3 linked regions of the Danio rerio genome follow. The protein of the gene in region 1 interacts with the protein of each later gene in a pairwise test. Links are inferred from orthologs where the notes say so. Each region holds a gene or a part of one and is shown on either strand. Other genes may lie near its edges. The genes, in order: igf1ra, ptpn11b and shc1.

Evidence for each region.
Region 2: the proteins of igf1ra (region 1) and ptpn11b interact in binary tests that used the Homo sapiens proteins (3 or more experiments, as listed by UniProt). The link is inferred for Danio rerio from reciprocal best matches to the Homo sapiens genes IGF1R and PTPN11.
Region 3: the proteins of igf1ra (region 1) and shc1 interact in a two-hybrid assay, tested with the Homo sapiens proteins (4 studies listed by BioGRID and IntAct). The link is inferred for Danio rerio from reciprocal best matches to the Homo sapiens genes IGF1R and SHC1.

Annotation. Positions count from the first base shown.
Region 1 is NC_133193.1:22,311,195-22,314,852, reverse strand, and holds part of igf1ra (insulin-like growth factor 1a receptor), read left to right. Parts: intron 1-2,504; coding exon 2,505-2,808; intron 2,809-3,658. UniProt on the Homo sapiens protein: Receptor tyrosine kinase which mediates actions of insulin-like growth factor 1 (IGF1). Binds IGF1 with high affinity and IGF2 and insulin (INS) with a lower affinity. The activated IGF1R is involved in cell growth and survival control.
Region 2 is NC_133198.1:26,921,085-26,924,742, forward strand, and holds part of ptpn11b (tyrosine-protein phosphatase non-receptor type 11b), read left to right. Parts: coding exon 1-75; intron 76-190; coding exon 191-270; intron 271-408; coding exon 409-564; intron 565-1,970; coding exon 1,971-2,102; intron 2,103-2,787; coding exon 2,788-2,942; intron 2,943-3,658. UniProt on the Homo sapiens protein: Acts downstream of various receptor and cytoplasmic protein tyrosine kinases to participate in the signal transduction from the cell surface to the nucleus. Positively regulates MAPK signal transduction pathway. Dephosphorylates GAB1, ARHGAP35 and EGFR.
Region 3 is NC_133191.1:24,126,398-24,130,566, reverse strand, and holds the start of shc1 (SHC-transforming protein 1), read left to right. Parts: upstream 1-1,289; 5' UTR 1,290-1,639; coding exon 1,640-2,233; intron 2,234-4,169. UniProt on the Homo sapiens protein: Signaling adapter that couples activated growth factor receptors to signaling pathways. Participates in a signaling cascade initiated by activated KIT and KITLG/SCF.

The sequences.
Region 1 (3,658 bases):
CATTCTGATTGCTTGCCGCCGAACTGCATCATAGTTCATTACCATTAAGTTGACTTGATTTCAACTCTCCTTGACACCCACACCGGGGAAGACGCACCGTGCTGCTCCTCGCCGCTTATCGCCGCCGGCTTTCATTGAAAATGAATGACTTCCGGCTACTTTTTCACTCTTGCCGCTTTCGGTATGATCGTACGGTAAATGATTCAATGACTTCCTCATGATTATAGTTCCTTGATTTGTTAATTGAACAGATCACCTGAAAATGTGTTGCTTCATTGACTCACCAATCACGTATCACGTCTACTGGTGTAAAGTTGTAATATTCAGAGTCACTGAAAATCACACTGACGCACAGAATGACAGTCACGAGTCCTTTTGCTTTTGCACTGTAAATCAGCACTTATGGACTGCCACACAGCCAATCAAATCTGAGGACTGTTGTGTAACTGTTAGCTGGTGTTTCTCATCATGACACATTCCAGCTCAGTTTAAGCCTGCCACAGATGGACCGTGGCTTCTCGTTGGGCCTGGCCCGACTAGATGCTTCCCAGGCTAATAGTCCAAACTGCAGTCCATCTGCTTGCTAGACTTTTTGGCTTCATTTCTCGCTCTGCTCGTCCTCTCCCCCTCCTCTCCGCCATCTAAATTCCCTCAACAGTATCAAACAGTAATAATATTTAGCTGTAGAGAGTCCAGAGCTGCAGTTTACTAATAAGACTGGCACACAACAGCGCCAGGCCAAAACCCCTGCATCCTGACTTCACACTGGGCTTCCTTCTTCTCCTCTGTACTCTGCTTCATAACTGTATACCCCAGCCATTATTATTTTATAATCAACTAATCCAATAGCTAGCAACACACACACAGACATATAAACCCAAATTGTACTTAGTTTTCTACGCATGTCCTAGAATAAGCATTCAGTGTTAATAAAGCTATCAGAACAAAACACGTGTAGTGTATGCAATATGGAAGGCCATTAATGCCAAAAGTCTTTAACGGCCCGTTTACACTGAGTGGTACAGTACAGTATGTTACGGGTCACCTTTATCAGGCTTGCATTTCCACTGCTAAAAGGGTACCAGTGGTATGAAATGTCTAAGTAAAGCTGTATAGGTTGTTCATATATCATATGAGAAGCACTTCTCGCAAAACAGATGCTTTATACACATAAATACTCGTGTTGACCATGGCTTGTTATTACATGTATATATGTAATGTCTTGGTTGTGTATTTAAAAATGGCACTTTCTTTGTTTTCATTCTTCTGGCTTGTGCATGAGCTAGAGACGTATCTCTTTAAACCAATATCGCTAAGCTGTGTGTCTCACTTCGCCTTTTGTTACTCTTTTGTTGTGCTAAGTACCCTTTTAAAAGGGTACCCAAAAAGTGGTACGGTACTTCTAGGTTTTTGGTACCTTTTGACTGTAGAAATGGCCATAAAAGCGTACCGAACCGTACCATAACATATCATAAATGTAACATTAAAATTCATGTCAACATGCATGTTTTGACTATGTTAATGTTATTTTGAATGTTTCTTTAGTGTTTGTTAGGGCTGCACGATACATAAAATTACATTGCAATATTTACTTTTTCTGCAATATATATTGCGATATGAATGTAATTTATCAAAATATTTAAAAACTCAATTTGTATTCAATTCATTATTGTACATAGATTGGGATCATATTGTAGGGGAGTGGATCTGCATAAAATACCTTTTAAAAGTCCAAAAATGTATCAAATAAACAAATTAAAGCACGGATGAAAACAATGGACCAATTCAATATGGTGATGCCATTGGCCCATAAACATTTTCTTGCTTGTTATCAAACTATTGTATAACTGTAACAAGTTTTTTAGGAGTGACCTGTTCAATCATAACCTCATGTTAAAACAGTTATCATAACATTATTTATCAATATGCGACTCTTTTTGGATTTCTAGAAGAAATAAAAATTAAAAATGTAAAACAGGAAATACATTGGGACCATTGTGAGTCTAACAATATTGAGGTACAGCTATTCAGTAATTAAATGCATAGATCCTGCGATGTAACTTGCAGATTTGCATACTGCGATATCGATTAATGCTGAAAAAATGCATAGAAATGCAGTTATACCAGCTGATATTTGCAGATGAATCAATATCTGAAATTTTGTACATGTATTCAGAAGGACTGTATTTTTGCATCACATATGGAAATTTGTCAAATACTGGAATTTCATTGGCCGTTGTGCTTGTCTACATGATCGTACTGCATGCTGGCAATCAAACTTTTGACCCTGATGGCCTTCCGTACATGACAGTTTTTCTCTTATACAAGTTCCTAAATTGCTTAATAAATTACTAATCTTACAGTATAACTGACTTTTATCTGGTTTACGCCTCAGGAGGTTTTTAAAAATGTTAATTTTAGGATGTTTCCTTGTATACTAAAACTGACATTTCTTTTGTAACAGCAACTGACGTGTTCTCTTTATTTGTGTTCTTCTTTTCCAGTGTGTCCTAAGGAGTGTGAGAAGAGAGCGTGCACGGATGCGGGCCAGTGTTGTCACCCCCAGTGCCTGGGCAGCTGTACGGAAGCAGACAATGATAAAGCATGCGCCGCCTGCCAGCATTACTTTCACGAGGACCGATGTGTCGAGGCCTGCCCGCCAGATACCTACAAGTTTGAAGGATGGCGCTGCATCACTATGGAGATGTGTGCCCGTGTTCACCTACCCAGCGAGGTGGACTTCGTCATTCACAATGGAGAGTGTATGCCGGACTGTCCACCCGGATTCACCCGAAATGAGACTCAGAGGTACGACACTAGAAATGCCTTATTAGATGCCGGTGTCAGTAGTGTTTCCTTTACTGTATATAGTGATGCTGCCGTGCCATTTAAACACAGAAAACAGCAGGGGTTGTTGAGTGCGTGAAGTGTCCATCATTACACATTTCATTTTACCGGTTGAATAAGTGCATCATCTGGGTATTTAAAGTGCACTTTTTTGAGGAGGGGGGGTTCTCAGTGTGAACGCATTACTTACGCTGTTTTTACTACAAAATGGCATAGAATAGTGCTTATTTATGCTACTTGGAATGCGCCTAAAAACGTAGGCGTACTACATTCGCCATTTTATCATCATCACGTGACCTACCCATGGCAGTGTCGTCGCTTCACTCCTGTTCATGAATTCGCTCGCGATGCATCATGGGATAGCATAGCCATACCTGTCAACATTGGGATGTAAAAATAAGGGATATACCCACCATTATAAGGGACCCTAACCCCATGACCTCACCCCCCACCACCAAAACACACACACAAACACTCTTCAGAGAAACACTCAAAATACGGTAGAAATACAGGAAAATACCTTTACAGGATAATAGCGAGATAGAACACGGGAGAATCCTGGGAAAAACGGGAGGGTTGACAGGGATGAGCATAGTGTCCAACTGATGCGCACTTCAGAATCTCACCTGTAGTAGGTCATCTGGGAACTTCTCACATACTGTTTTTTGAATGCTATCAATTAAGACATACTATTTGCCTCGCATACTGTTTTAAGCATACTACATAGTATGGAAGTATGCGATTTCGGACGCAGCTTATGTAAAAAATTAAATGTAGCTTCTTTTTTTGGAGTTTTGAAAAACATAAGAAA
Region 2 (3,658 bases), on another chromosome or scaffold:
AACTCCTTTACCCCAGGAAAGAGGGGCAGAGACCAGAAAATAAAAACAAGAACAGATATAAGAATATACTACCATGTGAGTAACGTGCTGTATTTTTCTGGTTTCTTAATGGGAGAGGCATGTTTCATAATGCAACGGTTAATCTCCAGGGCTCTTGTTCATGCTTTGATCATCATTTTCTGGGTTGCAGTTGACACCACTCGAGTGCAGATCAAGGAAGCGGATCCTGATGTTCCCGGATCCGATTACATCAACGCTAACTATATCCGAGTAAGACCCCGCTTCGCTCGTAATGATTACACGTCAATCTGAATGTCAAGCTTTTGCTGGGTTGTTGAGCTGTGATCAATAAGTTTAGAGATTGCATGTTCTTTTTATCCTTATTGATTTTGTTCTTTTTTCATTTAGAGCGTGAATGAAGAAGGACGTCATATGGATGAAGGTAAAGTGTTCATCGCTACTCAGGGCTGCCTTCAGAACACAGTCCTGGACTTCTGGAAAATGGTTTATCAGGAAAATACACATGTTATTGTCATGACAACCAAGGAGATGGAGAGAGGACGGGTAAGGTCCAGGATGAAAATATTGTACATTCATTCATTCATTCATTCATTCATTCATTCATTCATTCGATCGTTCATTAATACATTTATATTTATATTATATTATATTATATTATATTATATTATATTATATTATATTATATTATATTATATTATATTATATTATTTTATATTATATTATATTATATTATATTATATTATATTATATTATTTTATTTTATTTTTTGTCATATTATGTTATATTGTTTGTCATGGGATACATAGAATATAAGAAAATAAACAATTTGTTATAAAAAAAAATATTTTTTATGCTCTTAATTATATTTCCTTAATTATTTGTGATAATAAAAGTAATTTATATTTTTGGGGGGAGAAATTCATTCAGAATTCATATCAGTTTTAAATACACTGACCATAAAACTGCTAAATGATGACAATCTTGATTCAATTACCCATACAATTATATATTCCAGCCACAATGATTTGGTTTTATTTATTAAACATCTGACGAGTGCAATCCCAGTTGGCATAAAATTATGAAACAGCGTCAGTCTTTGGTCTCTTCAACCTTATGGTATGATTATTAGTCAAATTATTGCAGAAGTATTGGGATTAAAGTTTTGATGTAACCACTATTGAATATTGCACAGCAAAATAGACATTCATATTTTTTAAAGTAACACTATTTTATAAATAATGTTTATCAATTACAGTGTTACGCCAAAAGGTGGTGATAAGTTACTATTAAAAATGCATTTGTCATTGACTTATTTATTCAAGAGAGTCATTCAAAAGGGCTGATTCATCCAGTAATGAAACAAGTGAGGTCTATATAAGCCAGTGATTAAATCAACCTTTCAAACCGATGGGAATTAATTAAATTAACATTGTGTCCAAATCTCTAGTATATTACATGTCATTTTGTTGAAGTCCACCAAAAAAATTAAGTTTCCTCCTTATTTACTCGTACTTAATTGATTATGAACTTTAATGAATTTCTTTTTTTCTGTTAAACACAAAGCAAGATATTATGAAGAATTTTGCAAAAAAGCAACCATTGACATCTATAGTAGGAACAAAAAACACTATGAAAGTCAATTGTTGTGTTTTCCAACATTTTTTATTATAGATTCTCTTGTGTTCATCAGAAAAATGGAGGATGACTAAATAATGGCAAAATTAAAATTTTGGGATCTATTTGGGAACTTTTTAACTTTTCCTTTAATTTGTCAATTCAGAATCGTGGATGAAACATGATTATTATTTTGAACAAAAATGTGATTCTTCTTATATACCAAAAATTTCTAATGCATAATTTGAGAAAATTGAGAATCCACTAATGTTGTATAGCTAAATAGACAACACAGATTTTTTTTTGGGAACTAAACATTGAACTTCTCCCTATAGAATAAATGTGTGCGGTACTGGCCAGACTTGAATTCAACAAAGGAGTTTGGGAAGGTGTGTGTGAAGAACATTGAGGAACACACAGCTCAGGACTACATACGGCGAGAGCTTGAAGTCACACGTCTAGACAGGGTAAGAGCAATGCGATGACAGATGACATGCTGCAGCCAGAGGCAGTTCATAACCTTTGACCTTGTTGTTTACAGTAGCAGCTTGGAGAGAATCTTCTCACTTACTTCAAACCTGTATTACTTTACATTACTAATCTAGGTTGGATGTAGTTTTTCTCATTTTGTAAATTATCATTTGATGTTTCTTTTTTTTTTTTTTTTGTAATTCACTCAGGACTTACTCATTCATATTCATTGAAAGGGGAAGAGAAACCTATTTGTGACCTGTGTACGAATATTTAGACCATAAAACATGTTTTAATAGAAGGTACTGTATATTTTCAAGTTATATTAGAGAACGTTTTTTTAAGGGAAACTTTTAAAAAGATGTCTCCTTTTTCTATTTTACCCTATTTATCATTGGTCAAAATGAAAGAACTCTCATGACTTTTAATCAGTGTGATATCTATATGTTTTTATATAATGCATGTTTGTTTAGAAACAGTTATGATTGTAAATTATAAACTTAATATTCAATTCCAATGTTGACATAGACATACTGCTGATATGGCATAAATAAATAAATAAATAAATACATACATACATATATACATACATATATACATACATACATACATACATACATACATACATACATACATACATACATACATACATGCATACATAAATACTTTTTGTAATTACAGAGAGAGCCTCCCAGGTGTATCTGGCACTATCAGTACCTGAGTTGGCCTGATCACGGTGTTCCAAATGAACCTGGAGGAGTGTTGAGCTTCCTGGAGCAAGTGAACCGAACCCAGAGCGCCATTCCAGAGAGCGGACCCATAGTGGTTCACTGCAGGTACTACACAGCTCACACGTTCTACTTAGATTTATTTAATTATTTTGCTAAATGTGGTCTTAAAGGCACAGTTCTCCCCCCTTCCCCCATAAAAAAATCCAATACTTATTCCCTGTGATGTCCTTCAAATGCTATATGCTATTTATGCTATTAGTTTCTTTTGCCAAACACAAAAAGAGAATTCTAATGAAAAGTCCATTCATTCATTTATTCATTTTCTGAAAACTCCATTCATTCATTTGCCTTAAAAATGTAGCTATTTTAAAAACCCATTAGTTTATTTAAAGGTCATACTCAAATAAACACTAGAATAGATGTTTTTTCTGATGTAATTAAATCTAAATTATGCTTCAAACATTTGATTTTAAAACACTATCAATGACTGAAAACCAAAAAATACAAAAAAAAAATCTTTAGATTCTTATTCACTCTGTCACTTCCGTCATTGGTATTTATTTTCAGCTGTCTGCTGCACTATATGTTCACCTTTGTGGTCGGTCTAGCCGGCGCAATAGCCACATTAGTAATAGCACATACTAGGAAGGTGGGTATCAGGGTTGCCAGGTTTTTGCAATAAAACCCAATGCCCATCCAAAATACCCCAAAACTAGCCTGATGGCCAATCAAAAATATCCCAATATCATAAGTCAAAACTTGCCATCGCCCATTTGTAAAATAAATGTTGTACAGGTACATCACTGTATGGATTATACATG
Region 3 (4,169 bases), on another chromosome or scaffold:
AGGATGTGTATATAATCAAAATTGTGTTGTTTTCCTGAGTTTGTTAAATTAATACGCTAATTAGAAAAAAACGTAAGAGGCTCAGGTGTTTTTTTAATAGGCAAAAAGGAGTAACAGGACAGCCTGGAGAACGGGAAAGAAGACGTGGGAGGGGGCGCGGGGGAGCGAGAGATTATTTGGAAGAAGAGAGCCAGTGTGCTGGAGAGGGAGAGAGAACTGGAGAGGCAGAAGCTGGAGGAGGAGAGGAGGAACGCTGTGGGATACACTGTGTGGAGGCTGAGGGAGGGATTCCAGGAGAGGAAGGATAGAGAGGAGGATAAACTTAAAGGGACGAGCACAGAGGGTGCGAAAGCAGCGCAGCCAGAAGTGATTTGGAAAAGACGTGAGGAAGAGGAGGAGAAGGAAAGGGATAGAGCTCGGCTTGGCGACAGGGGTCACAAAATCATCTGGAGGAGGAGGGACAGAGAGTGACGGGAAAACATAGAGATCTGTCAGCACTAAGCACTCGCAGATATGTGACAGGAAGTGAGGTGGCAGATTTAGACTTACAGTATGAATAAGCCTGCATGTACTCTGATGTCTTGTATTTTAGGTAGTAGGTTGTGTACATCAGGGGTCTTCACATGGTTCTAGACCTCCTTTTGAGATGTTGCATGAAATTAAATAAGCCTAGTCAGTGATAGTTGTGTTCAAATATTAATAAACTTTGACAACTAAAACCCATTTAAATCATTATTATTAATATGCAGAGTCATATTTGCATGTTTCCTTTGTGACTGAAGGAAAAATTAAATATTTAGCTGCACTATTTTAACCTCAGTATGCATAGCAACAAATGGTTTGTTTCATGAGATGGCAACACAAGCCGTCATGGACCCCCATTGAAGATCCCTGCTGTATATCTTTTTAACACCTGAACTAAATTAAATCTCTAAAATTATGTTGATCTGCGCTGGTCAAGTCATCATTGAACGAATCATCATTAAATGATGCTCATTCTCTGGATCAGTACTTTAGCATTTTCCATCCATCTATTCCCGCTCTCTTCCTCTCTCACTCTATCGATCCGTCTGTCTGACGGAAGCCTTTTCTCTCAAAGTCTCAGCTGCAGCTAATAGGCTTTTTATGGGACTCTGTCAGACAAGAGATAGTAGATTGGAGCCCTACACATGCAAAGACAAATGAACACACACATAAACACACTCGCATGCATACCAAACACAACAGTACTCTTCTTCACACATCTACCTAGATGGATTGCGTCTAGAGCACTTATGTATAAATATACCAATAACTTCAAGACAATCGTACTATATTTAGTGATTCGTAGTGTCTGAGAAGCTCTATGCAGACTTAAGATCTGATGCAAAACCTTCTACAGGCTGTGTATGACAACAGCAGAAAACTTGATTACTTTTTTGCATCTGTCCTTTTGTCTCTTTTTACATCCTGTTTTTGATACTTTCCGGACTGAACAGTCAGCACACTGTCGTCTGTCTGGCGTGATGATGAAGGAATCGGTAGATGCAGAGAAAAAGAGGACTATAAAAGACAAGGAAAGACAAGTTATCGATTGCGACAGAGCGACGTGGAGAGACATTTAAGGACGTTTAGTGGACTCTGAGACGTCTTAGACATCATGGAGCTTGTCCCCAAAACTAAGTACACACCCTTTAGGAGTGACTCCTTCAGCTCAACAGACGAGACGGCGTCCAATCCTTCCCTTCCTTCTTCAGCTCCTCTCACCCCTCTCACCCCTCCTGGCATCCCTCCTTCTCTCTCCTCCTCCTCCCTCACCCCTATTCTGCCACCTTCTTCTCCACGGCAGGCTGAGAATAGCCCCACCACCTTATGCTCCTTCTTCCCCAGGATGGGAGCCCTGAGGCTGGGTGTGTCTTCCACTCTGCTCCCAGGCTTAAAGGCCTCCAGCAGGCCAGCAAATGTGCCTGGTAGCCAGGGAGGTTTGGGAGAGTCCTCGGAAGACACAGGGACCGTCAACTCTTCTCCTCCTCGTCTTCTTCCTCTTCTTTCTCTAACAGCCCCATCTCCTCCTCCTCGTCCCCCACAGGATATGAACCGGCTGGGCGGGGCCTCACGGAGGGCCCGTGTGGAAGGGGGCCAGCTCGGCGGAGATGAGTGGACACGGCATGGCTCCTTTGTCAACAAGCCTACCCGAGGCTGGCTGCACTCGGACATTGTGGTCAGCACCAGCGGAGTCTCCTACACTGTCAGGGTAAGATTCAATTCATTTCAAGTGTTTGTATGGAGCTTTTCCCAACAAGTATCATTCCAATGCCGCTTTACAAAATGTGTACATTATTGAACAAAATAAAGCCATATCCAAGAACTGGTTGCCCATGAAGTTAAGCAGGGCTGCCCATGGTCAGCATCTATATAAGAGATCTCCTGAAAATTCTAGATTGCTTCTAGAACTGTTGATACTGAGGCCAGTAAGGCTGCTCTGTGAGGGTTTTATTGCCATTGAAGGATGGGGACACTGTATTGTAAGTAGTGCTATTCTTTGGCTAAAATCAAGGTCCTTGTGGTCTGTGGTCATTAAAACTCCTCGTAGAGAGTAAAGGATGGCCAAAATCCCTCCATTGGCACTTATAAATCATGGCCTCAGTTTAATAATTCCCTCGAGTGAACTGACTCTATAACTCTCTCCTATCCATGTATAGCTATTGTGTGGTGAGCCCACTTGCACCATTGCATCAGCCCAGGTGGATGCTACACATTGTTGGTGGTTAAGAACGATCCCTGAGATGATTGAAAACACCAATACACATGCTAAAATTAGCATAAAATGCTATCCATCTCTAGCAAAGCCAAAATAGCATACGACATGCTAGCAGTATGGCAAAATGTACTAGCATTATGTTTAATTAGTCTAGCATTGTGTTGAAACATTCTATTAGCAAGTTAAACATGGCGTCATAGTATTAATGCAGAGGGTGATAGAGGGTGATAGCAAGTCTACTAACATGCTAACAATGTTAGCACATAGCAAGCACCCAGAATACCACAACAAATGGCTAGCAATGCCTTTTAGCCACAGAATGCCATAGCCTCTTTAAATGTTCATTTTTAGCCTACTTATTTAAAACTACTCCCTCAAATTGCCTGATAAGACTTTTTAAACTCAGGGTGCTTTCACACCTACACTTTTGTTTCGGAACGTATCCTGTTAGCCCAGTTAGTGCGGTTCGATTGGCATATGTGAACAGGGCTCTGTTCCGCGCCAAAGTAATCGCTCCGAGATCGCTTGAATGAGGTGGGCTCGGCTCGATTGAAACGAACCCTGGAAGAAGAGAGAATTATGAGTATGGCGGGAAGTTTCGCGAGTCTCCGGATGCCCGCAAATGAGAGATGATCTCCCGGTAATCTCGCGTCACCCCTCCCCACCGCGTCTCTCCTCAGACACGTCGTGCGCGCGCACCCTGTCAATCACCACCTCTCCTGACAGCTTAGCGGGACGCTGCAAAATAAACCCTGACACTCTGACCAATGTGAGGAGAGTTTACTCGCATGTGACTTTTAGCTCTTTTGGTCCGATTAGAAACTTTGCAGTGTGAAAGCGAACCGCTCCAAGAGCAAAGAGCAACAATGTAACATTTGTAATCTTTGTTTCGGAACAACTGAATCGATTCACAGGTGTGAAAGCACCCTCAGAGTCAATGTTTGTCATGTCTTTATTACGTCTTTATACTTCCTGTGCAATGGACATGATATGTACCTTTAATTAGGCATCCTGCAGTGGTAGACAGTAAAGCAGACAAAGAAATCTCATACATTTCAATAGAACAAGGGACCAGTTATATCTGAGGTACAGAACACAGAGAGACTTGGACCACCCAGCGGTACAAAACACCATAGAAAACCTTCACCTTAGCCCTAACTCTTGTTCTGCACATTCATGTGAAGGTGTAGGGGTGTCCCATGTCTCTTTAGTCTGAAGCCATATGGTTAGACAGCCCTTTAAACAGATATTTTCACAGAATACAGCAGCTAAAATGGCAACATGGCTGCACACGCAAATAAAAAGATGCATGAATTAATATTGTTTGCCATTAAGATGTTAGATAAGACATTACAAATTTTTTTACTAAGAATTTTACAACAAACAAGCACGTTTAATATATTCATAACGGCATTCGTGTTTTATCGTC